Linked DNA regions of Astyanax mexicanus. The protein of the gene in region 2 interacts with the protein of the main gene of each other region in a pairwise test. Links are inferred from orthologs where the notes say so. Each region holds a gene or a part of one and is shown on either strand. Other genes may lie near its edges. The genes, in order: smad9 and lemd3.

Region 1 (13,050 bases), on a different chromosome or scaffold from region 2:
AATTAAGCACAATCAAGCAGCAATCAAGTTATTCTGATTCTTGTGTCCAAAAACAGTGACTTGATTTAGGCCAGGGGTCTCAAAGTACCGGCCCGCGACGAGGTTTCATGCGGCCCCTCATGGGTTAACAAAATAAGCATACATCTGGCCCCCAATTCAATTTAATTATTTATGCTTTATTATGTTTGTTTTTATATTTTATCTTAACTTGTATTTTGGTGTGTGTGTGTGTTTTTAGTTTTTTTTGCTTACGCTGCGTTGCCTGCTTTAATAGTCTTCAGTAGCCTTCAACAGTCTAACCTTGCAGCCGTGGTGTGTCCATTAAACTCCGTAGTTATAAACATCCTGAGGTTAGCAGCGCGCTAACTGACCTGTTTATAATGTAATCCGAGCAGTGACACTGTGACGGCTGCTCAAAAGTGCTGCTGTTAGCTGCTTGGGCTGAAATATGAACTGTAGAGAGCTGTATTATCCGGTTAGTGGGGTTATTTTATTTCATACACAGAAGAACTTAAAACTTTTAAAAACGCTCCAGACTGGCTCAGCTGAGCCCTGTAGCCCGTGGCTGGGCTGTAGCTCTGACTCAGTAAAGACTGCGGGCTTGTGCTGCTGCTGCTCCCACTAGTGGTTGGATGAGGAACTGCTAAATCTGAGGAAATGCTAAATCTGTCACATGTTCTTAATTTTTGATTTTATATTTATTAAGCCTTATTTCAGTATCAAACGTTTTGATCAAAGTTAATATAACTTGTATTTTATGTAATTTCTACGGTGGCCGAGAAAGCCCAACGCAGTGCAAATTGAAAAGCGCTGCAAAAGCACAAAACACATCCATCAAAATTACAACACAGGCGCAGCAAATAGAAAAACGCGCTGCAACTAGAAAAACGCGCTGCAAATAGAACCACAACACAACGGAAGTGAGTCACAACACAACGGAATTTTCCCGGGGGACCTTAAAAGATACTGTACCAGCTAAGCTGCGTCTTCAGTAACGTCTCGGACTTCACTATGTGTACAAAGGACAATAAGTGGCAAACAAGGCGTTTTGTGAAGCAGAACTTTTAATAATATGCACACAACCGTGGTAATCACAGGTAATAAACATAACTTACTTTTCAGAAGCTTGTTTGCCACTTATTGTCCTTTGTATACAGCTGGTACAGCATCTTTTAAGGTCCCCCGGGAAAATTCCGTTGTGTTGTGACTCACTTCCGTTGTGTTGTGGTTCTATTTGCAGCGCGTTTTTCTATTTGCAGCGCGTTTTTCTTTTTGCAGCGCGTTTTTCTATTTGCTGCGCCTGTGTTGTAATTTTGATGGATGTGTTTTGTGCTTTTGCAGCGCTTTTCAATTTGCACTGCGCTGGGCTTTCTCGGCCACCGTAAATTTCTATTCACTTGACTAGTTTGGTTCTTGATTGATGGAGTTTTTGGATTTCATAACATGACAAATTAAAAGGATTTATGTTAATAGAGCAACAAGCAAACATTTTTTCCATGCAACTGTAATATTTGATTGAATAAATAATATATTGAGAGTTATTTAACATTAAGGAGTAATTACATTCATTTTATATTACATCTGGTTACATTTTCTTATATTTATAAGTTACACCTGGCCCTCAGAGAACAGCCAATATGCCAATGTGGCCCTCGGCCAAAATGAGTTTGACACCCCTGATTTAGGCGATACTTCACTCATTTTGAGACTTTGCCATTGCTTTTTGTAAGAAATCTTACTACGAAAATTTTGCTTACCCCATTGGCAGATTTTTTGCTTAATATACATATATTTGTCTTAATTTGCATATATTTTGTCTAGTTTTTGCAAATGGATTTTTAGCAGTGTATGAAGCTGGTGAGAAAGCCTGCCTGACTTACTCTAGTGTGATCTGTACTCACAGTCCAGCACTGTGCAGCTCGAGAACACCAAAATGGGCAGGTCTGCCATTGGAGCCCCAATCTCTTCATACGTGAAAACTGGTTCACACTAAGAAGGTGACAGTGGCTTGCAAAAGTATTCATACCTCTTGAACGTTTTTCTCATTGTGTCACCGCCTAAATGTATAAGCGTGTTGGGGCGTAACCACTGCTGCAACATTACAGATGTGGTGATGAAATTCACGTACATGAATGAGCGTAATTCTAAGTTCAGTCATTCATGGGTTAATGATCTTGGTTTCCACTGATTGGTGTTATGTTATTTTTGTTCTCAACTAGTTTCATCATTAATTTATTAGGATACAGTGTGTGATTTAAGTGATTTATTATTTGGAGCAGTGTATATGTATGTAAAGTTTTATGCGTTTGGCGTGTACTATTTTTACTTTCAATAAAACAAGGAATGCTGTTTACTTATTACCACCAGTCTGCTCTGCACCCTGGGGAACAGCATCCTGCTTTCTCCCCCTCTTCTCTCTCTTTCTGTCCCCTCCACTCTCTTTCTCTCTCCCACACTATCTCTTTCTTCCTCTCCCGATCTTGTTCTGTCTTTCTCTCACACTCTGTTTTTTTCTCCTACTTGCTCCCTGTTTCTGTCTTTCTCTCACACTCTCTTTTTCTTCCACTGTTTTTTTTTCTCTCTCTCTCGATTCGTCTTTCTCTCCCACTCTCTCTCTGTCTTTCTTTTTCACTCTCTCTCTCTTTTAGAAAGAAAGACAGAGGAAGAGACATAAAAGAGGGAGTGGGAGAGAAAGACAGAAAGAGAGAGTGACCCACTCTTTCTCTCCCACTCTCTCTTTCTGTTTTTCTCTTCCACTTTTTTTGTCTCTCCCACTCTTGTTCTGTCTTTCTTTCGCTCCTGCTCTCTCTTTCGTCTTTCTCTCCCACTCCCTCTTTTATGTCTCTTCCTCTGTCTTTCTTTCTAAAAGAGAGAGAGAGTGAAAAAGAAAGACAGAGAGAGAGTGGGAGAGAAAGACGAATCGAGAGAGAGAAAAAAACAGTGGAAGAAAAAGAGAGTGTGAGAGAAAGACAGAAACAGGGAGCAAGTAGGAGAAAAAAAACAGTGTGAGAGAAAGACAGAACAAGATCGGGTCTTTCTCTCTCTCCTTCTGTCTCTCCCGTCTCTCTTTCTGTCTCTCTCCCACTCTTATTCTGTCTCCTTCTTTCTCTCCCGCTCTCTGTCTTTCTCTCCCACTCTTATTCTGTCTTTCTCTCTCTCCTTCTGTCTCTCCCACTCTTGCTCTGTCTTTCTCTTTCTCCTTTTGTCTCTCCCGCTCTTTCTTTCTGTCTTTCTCTCACACTCTTGTTCTGTCTCCCTCTCACTCTTATTCTGTCTTTTCTCTCCCACTGTCTCTCTCTCTCTCAGCAGTTCTTGTGTAATCTATCTTTCTCTATGAGATGTAACCGGTATTATATTACTGTGTAAATAAACGCATTACTGTCTGAAAGGGTGAGTCTGAGCGCAGCTCGGTAAATGTCAGGGTTCAGGTTTTCAGGTCGTGTCTCGGTGCTGCTGTGGGTCCTGATTAATGGGGCCGTTGCACCTTGACGGGCGGCCGTTAGAGCCGTTAGAGCCGCTAACCGTCCCCGTATCATTTTTCATCCTCCTCTCCCGTGTTTGAGCGGTGGAGCAGCGTGTCGTGTCCGCTCTCGTTATTGGGAGCTGTGCTCGGTTCCCCTGCAGTTGCTGTAAACTGTGAAAATGTCAAACTTCTAGACTCTCTGTCGCCATCCAGGCTTGCGTCATTAACTAGTCTGGTCACTGCGCGCACACGAAATCGAAACGTATCCATCCGCAATGAGGAGCGCTCCGCAAAATAGATCCATCGATAAAACTCCTGGCACCCCGCCAAGTTGTGTTTTTTGTTATTTAATTCCCTGCAGTGAATGACTGTGATATAACTGCAGAGACTCTCCATACAGTAAATATAAAAGTATATAGTTACCTGGTTAATTAACTAGAACTGGGTTATATTTTATATTTATTTAGAGTTAGTTTTATCCATCCGCTTAACTCTACATGATGCTATCCTTTTTGAACAGAGTATCAGTATTTACGGATCTAACACGGGCTCATCATAAACAACCGCTTTAAAACAGACTGACAAGCAAAAATGGCAATCAAGGTCCTGAAAAGTGTAAAAATCCTGTGCCGGGATTTCGTTCCAGCTGCCTGGGCGGCTCTGCTGCAGCTCGGCTGTTTACGCGCCACTGCGGAGCCGCCCGGGCAGCTGGAACGAAATCCAGGCGGAGGATTTTTACTTTCTGGACCTGGATTTACCACATATGCTGGCAGGTGTAGCATTAAGTATCATGCTGATGGTATTTTTGACTTTGAACCTTTTAAATTTATTTAAAAAGTCAAAAATTAACGTTATTTTTTTTGCTGCATTACCTATTTTAATTTAATTTTGATAAAAAACAACAACATTTAAACAACCTTTATTTAACATTCCCTATCAGGCATCAGTTAGTCTTGAAATTCTGGCATTGAAACAATTATCAATTTCAAAGGCTTTAAATGGGCCTTTAGAAACTAACAATGCTTTCAGGCGACAGGTTATCCCTTCATAATACTAATACTACTAAAAATAATAATTACAATAATAATCCTATAGCATGTGTTGTGTTGTTGCAAGATACAAAGGCTTTTAACAAAATATATATGTATTAACTAACTTAAATTAACTAAAGTTCATGTATTTATTTGTGTATTTATTTATTTGTAAATCTATTTTTTAAATTAAAATGTAATTGATTAGACATACTTTTAATATATGGGCCTACACACTGCAAACAATGATACAAATAAACAAAAATACATTCCAATGGGACACACACACACACACACACACACACACACACACACACAGCTCGGCTCTTGCTGCAGACCAGAGACTGGGGATGAGCCCAGTGAGTCCAGTTGTATGTCAGGAGGCGCTGGGCCGGCTGGGAGAGTTCCAGCGCTGCGGATGAATCGTGCACGAAGGCGCGGAGGCTCCAGTCAGGCTGACGCCGGGCGCTGCTGCTGCCGTGGAGTCCAAACACGCGCTACACCTCCAATCAGAGCGAGGCTGGAGCGGCCAGGCAGAAAACACGGCGCCGCGCAGAGACAGCAGATAAAAACAGGAGAAAAGGTAAGAAAAACTGCAGCTCTCTCACACAAACACACACCTGCACTTTTATCAGCGTTTTAATAAGTTATTTTACTGAAACGCACTGTTATAATTACAGTCTAGTGTTTATTAACTCTAGTTTAACTTTCATGTGTATTATGATGCCTACTGCCCTCATATGGATAGAAAACCTATACTATAACTTAAATAACTATATTAGCTGTTAACTAACTAGATTTACCCAACTTGGTTAGCTAGCTCATTAATACACATTTTGTTTTTACACAGTTTGTTTTACTTAATTGCTCACGCCTCCTTTCAAATTTTATTAATTGCTAAATAATTACTTAGATATGTTCTTTATTTAGATCTCATTCTTTTGCAATACTGAGTCATTATTTCAATATATATTTTTTTCTTATGGAATGTAAAAAGGTACATTTTTCATTTTACACAGCTGTATTCTGTGTACATCCACTACTACTAGTAGCACTTTAATTTACACTGCATCTATCAGACTTTCCCATATTATACAGCATTCTGCCTCATGCACTTCCCACTCAACTCATTCCTTACCTGCACTTAGTCATAGTTATTCTGTCACCTACTGCACTATTTCCTCACTTCCACACACACACACACACACACACACACACACACACACTAGATATCTGCATAGTCTACATCTGTGCAATATTTGTCTATAGTGTCTATATGTTTATTGTTGGTATATTAAGTGAATTGTGTATAAAGCTATCTGTTTGTATTATTTTATATTTTAGTTTAATTTAATTTAATTTTATTTTATTATTCTTCTTGTAAATATTATTCTCTGCACATTGGTGGGAATCTGCACCTACGTTTTCCACTCACATGTACACCTGTACTCTGTGACGTGACAATAAAAATCTTGAATCTTGCACACAGATACTTAATAATGGGTTGTGTTTATGTTAGGTGGCGGGAATGTGCTTCCATAGGGTGAACTTGTTGCTGCTTTAAATGCTTCATCCTCTCACCAGAGGAGGTGTGGTGCTGCTGGAGGCTTCCTCTCCTCTCTGACTGGAGACGATGCTGCTGCTGCTGCTGCAGTCTGAGATACAATCCTGCTCTAGCTTTAGAGAACCTACAGAATTAACCTGTCTTTTGTAGTGCAGTGGTTAAAAGCAGAGTTATTCCAGCTGTGTGAGAGTATTGTACAGTATTATTGGAGTGTATTAGGGCTGCAGCTATCGGTTATTTTAGTAATCGAGTACTCTACTGAAAAATCGATTCGATTAATCGAGTAATCGGATAACGTATATTTGCTTGCCTTTCTTGTAAGTATTAAGTATAGGGAATAAATCAATAATAGAGGCATAAACATGGATTGGATAAGATCGCTGCATTCTTTTCCCACAAAGTCAGTGGACAGGGGATGTTTTCAGAAATACTTTAAGACCTGTGGAATAACTGTGACAACTAAAGTATTAAAAATGTTTTTTTTTTGTTTTGTTTATTTACGTTTAACACTACTCAGATCTAATTAGTTGACATAACTAAGACTAAATGACAATAATACAGTAAGTTCATGGCTGTGTATTACTTATGCCTTACTTTAACATGTATTTATTTATAAACTCCACAGCGCTGTGTTTACTGATTACATAAAGTCTGTATTAAATCGAGAAGTATTTATAATACTACACAGTGCTGTCGTTATGTTATTAAGCTACACTGATGGATGGTTATTGATTTGTTATAAGTTAAATTTACCTGCTCTCTCTCTTCACTCCAAAATCCTCCGTCTTCTCCACCTGCGTCCTGTGCCTGGGTGACGTAACGCTAAGCGCTGTTTCACATTAAAAGTCCTCGCTAAATTCCGTGCTTTGAGTTAAAATTAATTAAACGATTCCTCGAGGCACAGAAAATTAATCGATAATTTTTTTAATCGAGTTCCTCGATTTACTCGAGTAATCGTTTCACCCCTAGAGTGTTTTTGTAGGTGGAGCTGTGTGATAGTGTACACGGGGTGATTAAGCCTATCTGAGCTCTCAGACTGAGAGACGCCGGTTTCATAAGGAGACTCTGCCTGCGAGCTGAGTGCAGCTCCTTGTATTAACCTTTACTTTATTGTTTTTCTTTCTTTTCTTTCTCATTTTTCTCTCTTTCCTCTTCTCTTCTCTACTATGTATCTATTATTGTTTTAAAGGTAGAGGTGCATAGTAAACAGTAGCCTCATAACCAGTCCTCGTATAGTATTTCAGACTGCACTACAATGTCTATCTATCTATCTATCTGTCTGTCTGTCTGTCTGTCTATTTCATCACATTTCACCAGAAAGCAGTGACTCAATGTGTAGTGAAATTAATAATGTATTACTAATACCCAGCTGGCATTTTAACGTTGAATCAACGATGATTAACGTAGATGTTATGGTTGAATCAAGGTTGGATCAACTGTTGATTTTGAAAAGTGAATCAAGGTTGATATATCAAATGCAGGCATTGGGATTGGGAAGTATCTTAAAAAAATACCAGCTCATTCAGACTAATGGGGTCACCTTGCTAAGTAAATACAAAAAAATAAAGTAAAAATAAAGTAAAATAAAGTAAAAAAATCAATTGTTTAGTAACTTGATATAACATAGCTATTGTGACAGGCCAACTGACCAGTACACTTTAATGTTTAAAGTAAGATTTTTTCCTTTTGCACTTAAGCGCTAAATCTAACAATAGTGTTACCAGAAAGGCTTTTTTTAATTACTTGTTAGCTCAATAAAATGTTCTGTTGAACTATTCCTGTACTCCTCTCATAAATGTGGTATTTGGTTCACTGGCTGGTGAGATGAGTCAGGTGTGGAAGAAGAGAAAGCGCAGAAACATGAGAGGCCCTTCATTCTTTTCAGTTGATTCAGAATTTCCAAAGAGCCGTACAGACAGCTTTGCCCTGCTGTTCTCTGATTCCACTGACTGTGGATCAGGTTTATTTTGATTCATGGCTGAATGAACCGTCATTAGGTGTGTGGCAGTGAGGAGCTTTAGATCCTGCTGAGAGCAGAAGTCTCTCAGTGATGCTGCTGAAGTCTCAGCAGGGCTCTAATGAGGTTGCAGTGTAATGAGGAGAGGAGTATCGGATTCCAGCACAGAGAGAGATTTTCATAAATGCTTAGGCCAGTTCTCTAACCTATTGTTCTTGGAAATCACATTTATATTATATTTGAAGGGCAAACAGTGCCCGCCCTCTTTTAGTGCAGTCAGTTGTGGCTTCTCCTCTTAAATAACATGCTGCTTTATGTTTTTTCTCCAGCAAAGAAAAGGAGTAACATCCAGACTGTGGGTTTCCCAAAGAAAACATCCCCATTGAGGGGTTCACCGTCTAGTTCAGCTGGATCTTGGCTGAGAGGGATTAGAACAGAAAAACTCTTTAAGAGACTCTTTATTTTCTCCTCAGCCTCTGTGGTCCTGCACCTTGCACTGATGCACTCCACCACGTCCATCACCTCCCTGTTTTCTTTCACCAGCCCGGCGGTGAAGCGACTGCTGGGCTGGAAGCAGGGAGATGAGGAGGAGAAGTGGGCCGAGAAGGCTGTGGACTCTCTGGTGAAGAAACTGAAAAAGAAAAAAGGAGCAATGGAAGAACTGGAGAAGGCATTGAGTTGTCCCGGTCAGCCCAGCAAATGTGTGACCATCCCACGTTCACTAGACGGAAGGCTGCAGGTTTCCCACCGGAAGGGCCTGCCTCACGTCATCTACTGCCGGGTATGGCGCTGGCCGGACCTGCAATCACACCACGAGCTGAAAGCCCTGGACTGCTGCGAATTCCCATTTGGCTCCAAGCAGAAGGACATCTGTGTGAACCCGTACCATTACCGGCGTGTGGAGACACCAGGTACCTATATGAATCTGATTTCTTCAGTATCGTTTGTTAATGATTATGGCAGTTAATGGTTATTAGCATTTGCAGTACTAACAGACTGCAGTATGCAATAATAAAGCCAATAACAGTGCTACTCAAAGTGTGGCAAACTTAATTGTTCCATAAATCGTATTCCTGGCAGCATTGGTCTAGAGTATGTAATCATCTAAGCATCTTGCCTAGCATGAAGTAGAACTGTATGTGGCTAGATTACTAATATATGAAATTGTGCAGGCCTACACAATACAGATTTGTTTTATTATCTATCTAAATGAATCTATATTAATCTCTCTCTCCGGTCTGCCATCTTCTTTTGCCCCTCCCCACAATTCTCAGTTTTACCTCCAGTTCTGGTTCCTCGTCACAGCGAGTTCAACCCTCAGCACAGTTTACTCGCCAAGTTCCGCGACGCATCTCTTCACAACGAGCCGCTGATGCCGCAGAACGCCACTTTTCCTGACTCCTTCCCCCCTCTGCCCTGCACCTCTTTCTCCACCTCTCCGTCCAGCTCTCTGCAGTCCCCCACTGCACACAGCTACCCCAGCTCTCCCAGCAGCACAGGTGATCCCGCAAGCCCCTTTCACGTCACAGGTACCCAGTTCACTGTCAATAGCGCCTGTAGTAACATATCTATAAAATAGCAACACAATAGTGATTATAATTTTAGCTATAGGATCAAAATTGCATGTACAGATTATTTGATTATATATATATATATATTAAAATGATAAATATTACAGAAAAAGATCATAATATTTACTCTTTATTCTTTGGATTGAAATCAGCAGAGACCCCACCTCCGCCATACAGCATGATGGAGACCACTCCACCTGAGGACGTAAAGCCTGGAGAACCCTCCAATCCTCTGAAATTAACCCTGTCTACTCCACACAGAGGTACATCTTTTGTTTCTTAACTCTGATTTTGGAGTAGCCCTGCCCTGATACACCTGATTCAACTCTTTCAACTCTTAAAACTTTCATAATTAAACACTTTTAAAGCAGGGAGAGCAATAAATCGTGTGGAACAGAAGCTCCAACAGTACCAGTATGGAAAAACAATGGTCTAGCTTATTTACACAAGCAGTAATTTACAATGTGGTAGAATGACATAAGATTGATTTGTTTTTCTTCAGATTTGCGGCCAGTTTGTTACGAGGAGCCGCAACACTGGTGCTCTGTGGCTTACTATGAACTCAACAATCGAGTAGGTGAGACTTTCCACGCCTCATCCAGGAGCATCTTGGTGGATGGTTTCACAGACCCCTCCAACAACAAGAACCGCTTCTGTCTGGGACTGCTCTCCAACGTCAACCGCAACTCCACCATCGAGCACACCCGGAGGCACATAGGCAAAGGTGAGTCTGTTGTTTTGAGTTATTAGTCTGGGACAGCGTCATTGAGTATCAAACATTAACAGCTGAATTGTTAACATAGGTTTAAGGGGATACCACATAGTTCACTACACTTTATTTATGTTGTTCTCCTCTCTCAATCTTTCTGGACACCTCAGTGTAGGAAACATTAAGATATTGAGCAGAAATAATTATGCTAACTTGCAGATTGGACAAAATCCACACAAATGGTAAAGAACCATGTGTGGATGTCACATCTAGCCTACTATGTTTGTGTGTGTGTGTTTGATAAATGAATCTAAAGAAACAAAAGCTATGAGGATATGCACTTAATAATTGACAGTAGGGGTGGGCAATTTTATATCGTATACAATATATCGTGATACAGAAATATCATGATATTAAAAATCCATATCGTGATAATAGGGATGTTCTGTCTTAAAAGTAGTCTATTATTTACTGTGAAGCTTTAAGTGTATTTATTGTATAACTGTTTTAGTTTATAGTTTTTGTTTGTAGTTTATATGCATGAAAATATTCTGCAATATTATTTGCTGCATTAAATTATTTTATGCTATATTATTTATTTTGCCACATTATGATTATACTGTTATACTATTATACTATATTCCTGAAATTAATTAATTATTTTAGTTTTCCTATATCGCCAAGTATATCGTTATCGCAAAAATACCCTGAAATATCGTGATATTATTTTAGAGCCATATCGCCCACCCCTAATTGACAGGCCTTGTTTGGCGAGTCAGGTTTAGCAGGGTGTTCAGCTCCACAGTTACTTAGTAGTGATGAATTAGGCCAGACAACCAAATACCACAAAACTTGGTAATTTATAATAGTATAATAACAGTTTGTGATGTTTTAATAACACAATCTTGTGCAAAGGGAAAATTAAGGCTCTCTGTAATATCGTTCCACTGCAATGTTAATTCAGTGACCACAGAGAGAAAAAACATTGGCCTGTGTGTGTGTGTGGCGCCAGAGAGTGGTAGACACTGTGCTTACGGCTCTCAGGAAGACGGGGGGAGTACACACACTTGCCAAATGTTGGCTTTTCTCCTGCTGTCTGATTGTGCTTGCAGAGTGACTAAAATGGGGAAAAGTAAATGTTGCCCAGCAGTCTCAGGGCACTTACAAACGCACTCTCTCACACACACACACACACACACACACACACACACACACACACACACACACACACATTCTGTCTTTCATGGACGATGTGAAAGCTTGCCAAGTGTTTGTCCTATCGACATGCCTGAGAGCCCCTTTGCATGGAGTGACACAAACCAGAGCAGCATGGGTGAAAAAAATGGATGCTATTAAGGTTTCCGCTTGGCATGTGATGAAACAAAGTCGGGTTTGTAAATAACGATTTGAAAAAGCACTCAAATCTTACAGATTCACAGTATCATTTCCAGCTTGTTTCAGAAGTGGTCAAAATTTGTACTTAAATTTTTTTCTGCTCCTTTGAATTTTATGGTTGTATTCACATTTCTGCTGTTCCGTTGAAACGGTACAGTTGAGTGCCTAATGTACAATATCTGTATTAATCATTAAGCAGCAAATCATTACACAGATCTTAAAGTGTTTTGTGTCATTTTAATGTCTTAGCTCAGGGGTGTCCAAACTACGGCCCGCAGGCCATTTGCGGCCCGTATCCTTTTTTGGAGCGGCCCGCGAGGTATTTTAGAAATAGAATGAAAGTTGGCCCGCTGTTAAGCAGGTTTTTATAATGTGAGATTTAAAGTTTGAACACTAGGTGTCAGAAACGGGTCAAAGAGTCTAAAAGCGCAGAGGGTGCGCATTTCTAGCGCAGAAAATCGGGCCAAAGAGTCTAAAAGTGGCGAGTGTTAAGTTGTAGCGCAGAAAAACAGGCCAAAGAGTCTAAAAGCAGAGAGAGTGTTCAGATGTAGCGCAGAAAAACAGGCCAAAGAGTCTAAAAGCAGAGAGAGTGTTCAGTTGTAGCGCAGAAAAACGTGTCAAAGAGTCTAAAAGCAGAGAGATTGTGCAGTTGTAGCACAGAAAAACGGGCCAAAGAGTCTAAAAGCGGAGAGGGTGCGCATTTCTAACTCAGAAAAACAGGCCAAAGAGTCTAAAAGTGGCGAGTGTTTAGTTGTAGCGCAGAAAAACGGGCCAAAGAGTCTAAAAGCTGTCGTAATTAAAGAGTTTAATTAATTAATAATTAATTTAATTAATAGTAAATCAAGTTAAATTATGTGTAAATGAAAATAATCAGGAAAAAATATTATTTAAAGTGGTATATTTCATTATTTGTTTTATTACAGAGTGTGGCCCGTGACTTTAAATATATTTCTCCTTCTGGCCCCCAACAAAAATAGTTTGGACTCCTCTGTCTTAGCTGTAATATATATTTTTTCCTTTAACCAGTGTTTGCTTAGATAGTTTGCATGGGATCATTATCTGACTTTTTGTTGAATGCATAAAAGTAGACCAAATCAGAACTGGTCGGTTAAAATGTTTTGCTGTTTAGAAAGAATGAAAGTATGGTGTGACAAATCAGATTAAACCAGCCCGTGTAAATATGGTTATCTACCAGATCTCTATAGAAAATAATGAGAAGTTGTTGACAGCCTCAAACGGCTTGTTTAATTTGCAAGTCAAAACCTCTGGTGTTTTTTGTCTCTGCTTTTCTGGCTAGGCTAAGACACTTTTAACACATGCTTTGAAATTGAAAACGATCTTGTTTAATGTCCCGCAGGGG
Region 2 (13,050 bases):
TCCAGCGGTATTTCATGTAATACACCAAGCCCCAAAAACCACCAACGGCTGTTAGGATACAGAAAGAAAAGCAAAGATTGACCAATGAATGAAGTCATATAATACTGTTTTATATTAAGTTACCTCCTGTTCCACTAAGGGGCACCATCATGCAAACCCTTAATTTAATATTGGCAAAAGTGCTGTGAGACATACCAGCGAGGACGAGGACAACTCTGTAAATCACTGTGAAGAAGGCTCGTCGGAAACGGCAGACAAAAGACAAGCGTGGGTGGGTGGACTCCAGACGGGAGATATCAGACACTTCCTCCACTGCTTGCGCAGGGTCAGCTGCAATCAACCTGAAAGCCCAGCCACCATGAATGAATACAACAGGTTTTTACACAGCTGATCCACAGATGTTACTGTGCATTTGCATTTCATAACTGAATTTAAAATCTTCCAGAAATCTAAGAAACACACAAAATAAAACACAGACACAACTATTTCATGTGTTGTTTGTTACCTTATTCCAGCAGTTTCTCCAGATTTAATAACCCACTCAAGAGAAATGTGAATCCAATCTTCATAGTCCTTATTTCGGAGCTACAAGAAGACAATATAATATTTTTAAGCAACTCAATACATTCTTACAAACCCTGCAAAGCTACACAACACAGTAATTGAAGTAATTGAAGTAACTAAAGCAGACGTGAGTGAGGATATGTTTTAAATCAGAACAGACAGCTCACTTTCATACACTCAAATAATTTAAAAGCCACTTAGTAGGAAGGAAATGAGAAAACCATTACCAGAATGTTAAAACACAGTCCAACACATTACATATTCCAAACTAAACCTACCTTTAGATACTCAGCAGCCTCAGAGATGGAGACACTCCTGTTTAACGGCAGGTTTAGATCTCGGCAGTCATGTTCCCCTGAAATAAATGAAAAATGAAATATTTTAAGCGCAGCTTTGACACCTACCACGTTTTGTCCGGACCTTCTGACTTTTCAGTTTGGACCCGAACCAAAGCAGCAGGAGTAAAAGGGGCCAAAACCACAGACCAGACCAAAGGACAAGAGTTTGGTCCCACCAGTAGGTGGTCTAGGTTTGGTTCTACTAAACCACGGTCCGGAGTGAAAACACCCTAAGTGATGCTTATTAGTATTTGAAACTAGAATCAAAAGACTTATTTACACCTGGCATTGGGCTTTTTGAATCAGAATACTACCTGAAAAAAACAGAGTAGATTCAATTTTACATACAAAAAGCACACCAAAATGCACATCATTTATGTTTACTTCCTGTTTGCTATTTCGGACCACGCCATCAGTCACATGATTTGTAATTAGACTGAACAGGATGGAGAGAACTCAGAAGACCTTTGTGATGGAGTTACGGTGGTGTCTGCTCCGAAGCCATTACCCCATCTCTGATTAGTGGAGCCAAGAAGGAGAGATATGAGTGAGTTAAAAATGATTGTGAAGGGTGGAAGACAGTCATGAAGACGTGAAAAAGATTGTATTTAGAAAAATTGTATTTATAGGATGCAAGATTGGAAGGTGGGCTTAAAGCATGTTCTTTAATTTTCCCTCCTTCAAAGTTTTTGTTTGAAATGCTCTAGATGGTGAACATAACATGTTTAACAGTTTTAACACTGCCAAAAAAAACTCAATCAGAAAACAGAAGTCTATTTAGACTGCAAAAGATCAAACTCTTTAATATTGCTGGTAAATATGCATAAAAGTACAATAGGAGGGTGATGTCTAGCCCTTGCATACTAAGGCCTATAAAGTAATCCTCCAGCTATTTTTGAACTGTAGCTGACGTAGCATCACTGGGTAGCCAGAGCACTGGGGAAGAGGCACAGTGTCTCAGCTCAGCCTCTAGCAATACAAGCTAACGGACGCCTGTGCCGACCAACATCACATTAGAAGAGCGCCATCTTCCCACTCTGCCTGCTAATGGTAAAGCATCCTGAACTCAAACCGAAGATCCTTGAATATACCCAACTTTACATGCAGACAAGTAAATCCTGAACATGTCCCGATCACCAAAAAACAAAATGTTAATTCCAGGTGTAAACAGGCTCATATTTACAGTAACTCCCACAGGATGCATTTGAAATCTTAAATTACCTGCAATATCAGACAGATGATTGTGCAGGTGAAGCAACAGGCTGAGAATGAGGTCTCGCTCGCTGTTGGTCTAGAAGGAAAAAAACAAAGCACTGTTGTGTTAGATACCATATTTCTGGCGACTCAACCAGTTCTACCAGGATATTCTATTGTTACTAACTAAGTGAGCCCATTAGTCTGACATTATTAAGATGCTATACATACCAGCTTTCAATCAAAGCAAACCAAAAAAATTAATGTATCATATTTCTAGCAAACAAATTGTTTGTTTAGCACCTCAAAACACTGCAAAACATTTTTAGTTGTTCTAATGTAAATTCATTTTAAAATCTATTTTTTGAAGAGAAAAAAAAAGATTACAGATTTTTATAAAGATAACCAGCAAAGATTGCACAAAGACACTAGGTACTTACATATGCGTTGTCAAAATCTGCACCGAATGGGTGGGTCTTAACTGCAAAAGAAAAAAGAAAAAAAGAGCGGATGCTTTTACAGCAGTAATAGCTATAAGCTTTTTAAAGTCAGCTTAGCCTGGTGAGAGAATTACATTCCAAGCAAAGGCAGGACTGCATTTCCCAGTCATGTCTGTTGAGGGCAGACACATGCAGTGGCAGGGAGCATTTGAGTGTCTCACCCTTGTCCTACTGTCTGCTAGAGAACATAATTGGTTTCATTCCTCTCATCAGCCACGAAATAGTACAGACAGATCTCCCTGCAGACATGCTAGTTCTCTGAAAGACTGGGGATGGGGTCAAGACAAAAAACACAGGGCACTGAGTATTCTGTATAATAAATAGTAGGGGAAAGAGACAATTTGAGCTGAACAAAAGTTCAATTTGTGTGTTTCATTTGGTCCTTCTGAGACATTGTAACACTAGATAAAATTGTTCAAATGATAATTATTTATTTACACCTTTATCTGCAGTTTTAACTTTATGGAAACAACTTCAGTTTTTAAACCTTTTAAACACTTGCGTAAACATACAGACTGGCAGATAAATGTATAAAAGTCAATCAGAAATGGCTCCAATTCTCATATTGGTGCGTGCCTAAAACATCACATACACCCTGAAATCCACGAGTATCGAAATTGTATGGTAGTATCCACTAATGTCCTGCCTGAATGTATCAGAAAAGAAACTGGGAGTAAGAAAATAACAGGAGGACCCCTGCATCGCTACACAACCATTCCCAATAATACGCACACCATACAGCAAACATCTGATGTAAGTGGCACTGGACGCAGTCAGGCAGCCAGCCAGCAGTCAATCACTTTAGCTTTGGCCACAGACTTCTCAGGTCTCTTGAGAGACGAACAATTAGGCCGCTTTAGTTCGTCTGTGACCTAGATGTCTGCCACTCGCTCTTCACGCAAAGCTCCCTCCCCGAGAGCCTCCATGGGCACACCACACACTCAGGCTTTCGTAATACACCCACTGGCTCCTTCTGCCATAGCGGCACTAGACAGAAAAAACGTTAGGCCTACTACTACACCGTTAAACATCAAAACTACAACTGCTGCAGTGTCAAGCCTGCCTCCAGCTTATCACAATGGTGTGGGTACTGGTTCACATCCTTCCCTCATGTTTAGAAGACTAAACATACCTTAACCTAAATGTAAACTATATGGCCATTAGCTGTGAGGAATTTCCACATACTAGCAAGGCTAAAGACTGTTATTTTCCAGTCTAACTGCAGGCAGCAGCAGCAACTTCACAGAGGAACTTTTTTTTGTAGCTAACAGAACTGTCCTAAACTGAAGTTCACAGCACTTCCTCTGCTGAGAAAACCTAAAGCTGACCCAAGGAATGACTCAAGTATAAAGCTGGTATGCTCAGAGATCAAGCAGAGCTGATAACACACAATTATACTACACTGACTTACTGATTCATTCTACTTCTTTTGAACATTTCATTACTGCAGCACTGTGGTAGGTGAACACAGGGCACCTACAATGAGCGCGAGTCATACCACAAGGCAGATGGAGAGGTGGAACACACACATTCCACTGCCTTAAGGGGTGTTTCGCTCCTGTTCTGATGGTAATGCCACCCCTTCATGCAGGCCAAAGTGGCATATTCTGTTTCCTGTCTGAGGGTGCGAACAGCTCAGGGTGACAAGTGGTAACGTGTGTGTCTGACACGTCTGACTGGGATAGCAAACACAGTCATTTAAAGGCTTTCGAGGTCAGGTTCAGTCCTAGACAATTTCAGCAGTTTCATTTTTTTTCCATTGAAAGCTCTAAACAAAATGAGACATTCATTTAAACATCATACATGGGTCTTATGAGCACTGACCACATAACAGTCTTATGCATGAGAACACAAACACTGGTTAATCATTTTGACTAACAACTATGCTTATTTAAGCAGTCTAAAGAAAACTCAAGGAGCTAAACCAAGCATTAACAAACAAACATGTTTGAAGTAGAGTATCAGTGAATGCATCTCTGAAATAAAGCAATGAAAGTTACTTAAATCTTACTAGGGCTGCACAATACATTGTTTTGAGACAATCCCAATGTGCACATGTGTAATAGTCACATTGCATAATGTACAAAAGTCAAAAAAGGAACATAACCCACACGTCATATTATAACTTCCCTGATTCAAAAGGAAGTTCTAATGTACACTGCTCACACTTTATCACAAGCAGATTATTTCGATCCAATTTAATTTAATTTAAAGCAATTTTTGTTACACAGAGCGCATTAATAATATCAAGATCAGGTTGGACTGTTGACATTTTGTGACTACTGAAAAGATTTGGTGAAAAATATTAAAGCTTGCAAATTATCTCAGTTAACATAATCTTCTTAACTCAAAGCATGATGTTACTAAATTTTTTTGTGTAGCACCTTATAGTTGTCACTGATCATTCTTGCAATGGATTGACCTGCAATGTTGGTGTTCCAGTCCAGAAGTTGGGTTGCAATTAACTATTATTTTGGTAATTGGCTAAATTGTGGACTATTTTTTTCCTGATTAGTCAACAATTATTTCCATCCCTTTTAAAATGAAGTAAACTGTTAAACGTGTGTAAAGGTGCTCTTTAAATGCCCAGATTATGTTTAAATATTAAATATTCTGATATTTAATGAGTAAACATGCAATCTAATTGTAACTGTGTTTAGGCACTTTTTGGAGTGACAGATCATTATGAGTGTAAACTGTATGAGTGATTCCACTGCATTTCTGTCCCGCTTAGTTTGTGTAACGCAATTTTGATTATCGACATTGGCGATTTTACTGAATAATCGTAGCAGCCCTACAAAGAAGACTAGTACGTCAGATGCTAAATTAATTTCACCCACCAGTTCCATTCAGTTCAGCATAAGACTAAGATCTTCAATACGCATTGGCCTTAAACTGTGTCTGGGAAACATTCTCAGAAAAGAACTGTGAATGAATCTCAGTCACTACTACAACACATCTGTCTGCACATCAAACAAACTCACTGTTCTCAAACCAATTATCTAATCAGGATTTTTTTAATACTTACTGACGACCTCGTCTGTGGACCCAGTACCCCTCATTCTCAGGTACATGAGGCCAAGCAGCACGAAGAAGAGGCAGGCAGCGGTCAGGAGGAACATGGACAGGTAGTGTGCGCTGAAGCCGCCGGTGCCAGACGCCTCCTCCCTCCGGAACTGCTCCAGGAGCTCGTCCTCGGGGGCTGGCTGCTTGCGTTTGGTGGAAGCCTGCCCGTAGCTGTGGTTCGAGCCGGTGTGGTTCGAATGGTTGGGTCGATAAGTCGTTGACAGGCTGTTGTACGACGAGGAGAATCGAGGTCTGAGGCCGAGGCTAAACGAGGAGCTGCTGCTGCCTATGCTGGTGGTCGCGCCCTGCCCGCCGTCGACGTGGTTCCTGGGGCTGCTGCTGCTGCTGTCAATGTCCCCGCCATTCTCGCCCATGATGCCGGAGCTGAAGCGAGCGGGCCTCGTGTAAATGCGGTTCAGATCGAACTCATCGCGCTTTGCGTTGGATCTCCCGGATCCCGCGGACCTCCCGTCCTCCTCCTGGTCGTCTTCCTCATCCGGCTCCCTGCCTCTTCTTTTGGCCGGAGACGGGGAGGCTTTGGATACGCTTCTCCTGGGCAGCAGACGACGTTCGCGTTGGCGTTCACGGTCCTCCAACTCCTCCTCCTCCTCCTCTTCTTCTTCCTCCTCTTCGTCTGTGTCTGAGTAATCCCCCGCCAGCTTACTGCTGCTGCTTCCACTGAGCGCTGTGTAAGGCTGTGTCCTGCTCCCGTTCAGAGCCCGACTGCTCCTCTCGGTCTCCTTCTGCTTCTCCTCCAAGCTGTTCTCCTTCCCCAGCTGGGTGTAATCCTCATCCCACGCCAGGTTAGAGCGGGACTCCCCTAAGCTCGCCTTACCCCGGTCTGCCCACCACGCAGACGCCGCCACGAGGCTACTTTTCCGACCCTCCAGAACCCCGAGAGCCGACTTTCTGTGGGCGACTCCGGCGCCACTTTCCTGGGGAGGCCTCAGCGGCTGCAGCCCCAGCCCGGAGCCCCGCTCTCTCCTAGAGCCGCTGTGATTCAGGCCTGCTTTGTGCTGGGGAAGCTCCGCGTCCGACTCGTCCGAGCTAAAGCCCAAAACAAACTTTCCCGGCCGCTCCGACCGCTTCGCATTCAGCACCTGGCGGCCCCCAGCCGGCCTGGCGCGCACGGCCGCAGCTCCCGCCGCTGGGTGGCCGTTACCGCCGCCGCTGTTGTTGATGCTGCTGCTAAAGCTGCTGCTGCTACCGCCGCCACCGACACTGCTGCGCCCCTTACTGCCCCTAGACCGCTGCTGCTGTTGCTCCTCGCGTAGTTTCTTCAGCTTCTTCAAGTACACAGGCCGCGTGTTCTCGGTAACCGGGCCGGGAGTGAAGCCCAGCTGTTTTAACTCGGAGAAAAGCTCCTCGTCCGTTAGCTGCGCCGCCGCCATCTTCACACCAAACTCGCACAGGACGCGCTGCAGGAAGTGACGCAAGAGCAGCCAGTAAAGTCGGGCAGATGAAGTTCAGCAGCGGAATGATCAGCAGATTAACGTTTACATCACCACCACAGACTAAAATCACCACAAAACCCACTACAAAACACACAAATAAAGCCCTGTATTCAATAAAAAAATAATAAGAATATATACATATATTTTAGCCGTGTTATTTCACCAACTAGCACAGTTAAGATGCAAAAAATATGTATAATTTAAGTCATAGACTAAAATACCCTCACACAGAATAATTAGTTATGTAGTTTTTTTTTACACTATCGGACACACATTTAAGATCATCTTAATTTTTCCCTTTAATTTGCCATACAGCTCTGAAAAAACAACTACTAATAGAATAGGGTTTTAAGTGGATTAAGATTAAGTTTATTATATTTCCAGTGCTTTTATGTGTAAGTTATGTACAGAACATATGAAATGATCCATGTTAATAAAAAAATATTATGTCAAGGATTTTTAAACTAAATGTTATTGTTTATTTAAGTAATTTAGTTCAATATCTTAATTCATGGACCAATATTCCCTCACTTAGGATTTTGTACTGTTATTTTATACATTTTATTCTAAGATGATGACAAATTATTAATATTAATGACAATTAAACTTAGTTTTTTCATGAAATTAATTTATATTTTAATGAATGGTCTCAAAGTGTTCACAAAATATTTCTTATGTACAGCTCTGTAAAAAATAAGAGACCACTTCAGTTTCTAATTCAGTTTATCTGATTTTGCTATTTATAGGTATATGTTTGGGTAAAATGAACATTGCTCTTTTATTCTATAAACTAAGGACAACATTTCTCCTAAATTCCAATATTATTTGCAGAAAATGAGAAATGGTTGAAGTAGCAAAAAGATGCAGACGCAGGCTCAAATAATGCAAAGAAAAGAGTTCATATTCAGGTGTAAGAGTTCAGAAATCAATATTTGGTGGAGTAATGCTGTTTTTTAATTACAATTTTCATGCATTTTGTGTCCTCTTACACACTGCTTTTGGATAACTTTATGCCACTCCTGGTGCAAAAATCAGGAATTATTGTTATTATTATTATTATTATTATTATTATTATTATTATTATTATTATTATTATTATTATTATTGTACCTTTATAGAAATTAGTTGTAATGTGTGACTTTTAATCTCGGAATAATAACATTTAAACTCTGTATTATTATTATTATTATTATTATTATTATTATTATTATTATTATTATTATTATTATTATTATTATTATTATTATTATAACAGCAGATTGATAATAATGTTGTGGTCCTGTTCTGGCACATCACGCCACCGTGTGGCGGGCGCTCGGAACTGCAGGTCCCGGCGTCTACAAGTAGCCCTGCGAAGCAGCGCAGACATTTCAGTCTGTCAATCCCAGAGGCGGTGACGATACATTTAAACCGGGATTTCAGCGCGAGGAGGGACACGTTAAACCCGGCTCTTCACTCAGCATCCAGAGGGGTCGTTCGAAATGGCTCGGGGGTCTCCTGCTCTCCAGTCTTGCCTGAAAACTTACTTTTTTCTACTTTTGGGAGCTTTATCAGCCGGAGCTGCCCCCGAGCAGGGGAGCCTGTACATGTGGATTGATGCCAACCAGGCCAGGATACTGATAGGTAAATAGTTCTGTGTGTGATGCTGTGGGGCAGTGTGGAGGTCCTGGATCTTCTGAGGGGGTTTCAAACTCTAAAACTTATTTTTTGATCATGTAAGCAGGTTGATATTGCTGGGCTTTAAGGAGGAAAAAGAGAGAGAGGAGCTCTGAGTTCTGGCATGTTTTCTTTCACAGGTTTCGAGGAGGATATCTTGATTGTGTCAGAAGGACAAATGGCCCCGTTCACACACGACTTTAAAAAAGCCCAGCAGCGCATGCCCGCCATACCTGTCCACATCCACCACGTGAACTTCACCTGGCAGGTCACTGATGATCAGGTATGGAGAATATATTGAGAGGTATTATGGAGGTCAGTCTGTTTAGATCTGTAATAGCAGTGTTATAATATGTTTAGAAAGTGAATGTAAAAAGAATGTATCTTTGGTATGGAGCTGTTATAACACCTGTGCAAACATTATAGTCACAGGGCTCTTACTGAAGTGCAGCTGTGGTGATTGCAGCTCTTTGAGTAAAGCTCAATATGTTTTTTAAAGCATGCTCACATTAAGAAACTACACTGAAAAAAAAGTTTTTATAGGCTTTGCTTACTTTGTTTTAGTATGTTTTAATAGGTTTATAGGATTTCCCTGTAAAAAAAAATCTTGTGATGTTGTGATTTACAAAGAACGAAATATTATACATTGAATACATGAATTAGCCGTCTTCTAACAGCTTTTATTTGACTATTTGATCAAGAATGTATTTATTAATAAAAAAACAGCAACATTTTCTGTAAATGTACACATAATTACAGTTGTATATACAACTCTTGAAAAAAATAAGAGACCGTTTACTTTCTGAATCAGTGTCCCTGATTAAATGTAAATGTTTGAGTAAAAACATTGTTTTTTTTTTATTTTATAAACTATGGACAACATGTCTCCCAAATTATAAATAAAAAAATATTGTCATTTAGAGCATTTATTTGTAGAAAATGAAAAATTGCTCAAAAAACAGAAACGATACAGAGCTTTCAGACCTCAAATAATGCAAAGAAAACAAGTTCATATTCATAAAGTTTTAGAGTTCAGAAATCAATATTTAGTGGAATATCCCTGTTTTTAAAGCACAGTTTTCATACATCTTGGCATATTCTCCTCCACCAGCCTTACACACTGCTTTTGGATAATGTTATGCCACTTTTGGTGCAAAATTTCAAGCAGTTCAGCTTGGTTTGATGGCTTGTGATCATCCATCTTCCTGTAGTATATATAATATATATACAATAAATAATATTGGAAAAATGCATAAAAGAAATTCTGGCAGCAGGGTGCAGGAAAATAATATGTAAAAAAGTAATAATAAAATTTCCATCACCCCTGCTTCCAGAAAGTCACAGCGAGTGATTGTGAAGTACATAGGTTTTAAAATTTCTGTTGTAAATTTTTTTTTTAATTTTTTTGGCAGCAGTGGTGCCAGAAAAAGTATGTAAAAAAAAAGGTAACTCACCGGTCCGTAACTTACAGAAAATGACAGTTTTTATATAGATATTATCTGGCTCCACTGCTGCCAGGAAACTTTTTTTTTTAGATATTATTTTCCTGTAGATTATTTGCAACTTGTAAATCATGTAAATTACATTTAATTTCATGAAATTAATTATACATGTTCTTTAATTGGTCTAATATATTTGAACTGGTCTAAAATAATACAAGGACATTTATACTTTGGATTTAGTTACAAATAAATGATAAAAAAATAATACAATTGTAATAAATAACACAAATAATATATATTTATGTATATGTATGTGTGTGTGTGTTGCCTGTAGTGATTCCTCAGTGTGCGAGCTTATCTTTAGTAATATGGTATGAGGTGCTGAAGGCTGAGCGGTGACCTGTTGAAGGCGGCTCTGAGCTCCCCTGTTTCTGGTGCTATTGTAATGTCCATGTCCTGCGGTATTTTACGTGCTGGTGTGGTGGAGCTGCCTCCTCGGATCAAAGCCTCTGCATGCATGTGCCAAACATCTGGGCCATCAGCCCACTGAAACATGCTCCACTCTTTCTCACTCTCTCTCTCTCACATACACACACTCTCTCTCTCTCTCTCTCTCTCTCTCTCTCTCTCACACACACACACTCACACATATACACACACACAGGCCTCAGGACATGTTTTAAGGCCAAAACTCTATTTGGAAGGGGCACTGTGCATGTTTGATCCTCATTGCTATCCATCACTGGTTTGGTAATAAGCGGTGGCTAAAATGACCTCCCTACTCCTCCTTTACACATGGTCTGTGGGCTCTGAAACTTCATCATTATGTGAGTTTACTGGCTGAATGAGTGTTTAAACAGAGCAGCAGCTCCTTCTTAAATATCTATTAGCTTCTAATACGTCTCATTTCTGCAAATTTGAGCAATTATAATTACACCATATCTGATTACAGTGTAGACCCAGGCACTGTCTGGTTTCTTTGAACTTTAAAAGGAACTTCAAAGCTGAAAAATGATTAATTCAATATGATCACTATGTCATAGCAGATACATTACTATTCCTGTATGATTCCACAATGGGTTATAGAAGTAAGTACATAAACAGACATGGCATGCATTAGGTAATCCCTACTGTTGCTGTTGTTGGGGGTATTGTTGGGGGCTTCACAGTTTGGTCACAAAACTTTCTCCTGGCTAAGTGTATTGGGTTGATTGGCACCTACGTTCAACTGGGAGGGGGGGGATCTTGACTTTTAGAATGCTAGTATCATATATATTTCATTTCTCGACTACTGATTTTTTTTTTTTTGGGGGGGGGGGGTCTACCAGTAGACCAGGGCATTCAACAGGTCCATAGTCTGTACACATTCAAACTGAACAGGTTCAGAGACCTAAGACACTTTTAGTTGTATAAAACATTAAGTTTAAGTAAAATGTACTGAAGGTACTAAATATTGATTGTGGAAACAACTGAAAAGTCATAGATGTGATCCATATACATCAATGCAGTTCATAACTCTGAGTGTGCCTGTGACACATTTAAAATATTAAATGGTTGATGCAACTTAAAGATCTAATTTAAATGTTAAAATGAACAAAAATACTCATGTAACTCAACTTACTTTTGTTTAAAAACTTTGCTCATTGTTAAAGTGCCCTGTTGCATACTCATTTATTTAAATGTAGATGACAAGATATGTATGCAGGTTAAATGAAAAAATAAGTTAAAGCTGTGGTTACGGGTTCAACAGGTTTTGATTGATACACCACAAAATAGGGCTGGGTAATATTGAAAAAATCAAATAAATTAAAATAAAATCTCAACAATCTAATTAAACATATGAGAGATTTTCTATTGCAATTCTTTCAACCGTTCAGCAGCTTTTATATTGAAGAAAGTCCAAAAATAACCTTCTTATATTTTAGGAAATTTATTTATTAAATATTAAAATCACTGCCACATTAAAGTTCTACAGGTTCCTGACTAAATCACAAGCGTATCTACTGAGATCCCTCAGACAGGTTCTATATGTAATGATGCACAATGTCAGTTTGAAAGTTGCATTAAAACAGTAATTTAATCAGCACTACCAATAATGTTAAAATCACTTTTTGGATTTACATTGTGTGCGCCATTCTGTTTACACATACAGCTCTGATTTTACCAAATTTACCAAATTATACCTCTGGAATATAATCAAGAGGAAGATGGGTGATCACAAGCCATCAAACCAAGCTGAACTGCACCAGGAGTAAAGGCACAAAGTTATCCAAAAGCAGTGTGTAAGACTGGTGGAGGAGAACATGTCAAGATGCATGAAAACTGTGATTAAAAAACAGGGTTATTCCACCAAATATTGATTTCTGAAAACTTTATGAATATGAACTTGTTTTCTTTGCATTAATTGAGGTCTGAAAGCTCTGTATCATTTTTGTTATATCAGCCATTTCTCACTTTCTGCAAATAAATGCTCTTAATGACAATATTTGTATTCAGAATTTGGGAGAAATGTTGTCTGTAGTTTATAGAATAAAACAACAATGTTTAATTTAGTCAAATATATACCTATAAATAGCAAAATCAGAGAAACTGATTCAGAAACTGAATCACACATATTTACGTTCAGTTTAAGAGACTGGAGTCAGCATTTACGGAGTCTTCAACATAGAAATTGCAGATGAAACAGAACTGCAGTCTGTTTGTCTGTGTGTTTGGCCTGTGCGCTTCACTTTCTTGTTGTCAGCTTGTCTTCTGGATCTCGCTTTCACTAACGATGTCTCCGTGCACATTGAGATCATAATCCACAAATGGCACGTCGACCCAGCGGAGAAGAGAG

Evidence for each region.
Region 1: the proteins of lemd3 (region 2) and smad9 interact in binary tests that used the Homo sapiens proteins (3 or more experiments, as listed by UniProt). The link is inferred for Astyanax mexicanus from reciprocal best matches to the Homo sapiens genes LEMD3 and SMAD9.

The regions. Positions count from the first base shown.
Region 1 is NC_064427.1:39,534,843-39,547,892, reverse strand, and holds the start of smad9 (mothers against decapentaplegic homolog 9), read left to right. Parts: upstream 1-4,973; 5' UTR 4,974-5,077; intron 5,078-6,811; exon of another isoform or gene 6,812-7,175; intron 7,176-8,344; 5' UTR 8,345-8,514; coding exon 8,515-8,926; intron 8,927-9,289; coding exon 9,290-9,544; intron 9,545-9,738; coding exon 9,739-9,849; intron 9,850-10,088; coding exon 10,089-10,310; intron 10,311-13,047; coding exon 13,048-13,050. UniProt on the Homo sapiens protein: Transcriptional modulator activated by BMP (bone morphogenetic proteins) type 1 receptor kinase. SMAD9 is a receptor-regulated SMAD (R-SMAD).
Region 2 is NC_064409.1:10,895,797-10,908,846, forward strand, and holds the start of lemd3 (inner nuclear membrane protein Man1), read right to left. Parts: upstream 7,102-13,050; 5' UTR 7,054-7,101; coding exon 5,625-7,053; intron 2,578-5,624; coding exon 2,537-2,577; intron 2,194-2,536; coding exon 2,124-2,193; intron 920-2,123; coding exon 843-919; intron 586-842; coding exon 506-585; intron 342-505; coding exon 196-341; intron 49-195; coding exon 1-48. Other genes in the region: wif1 (wnt inhibitory factor 1), read left to right, coding at 8,598-8,739, 8,913-9,055.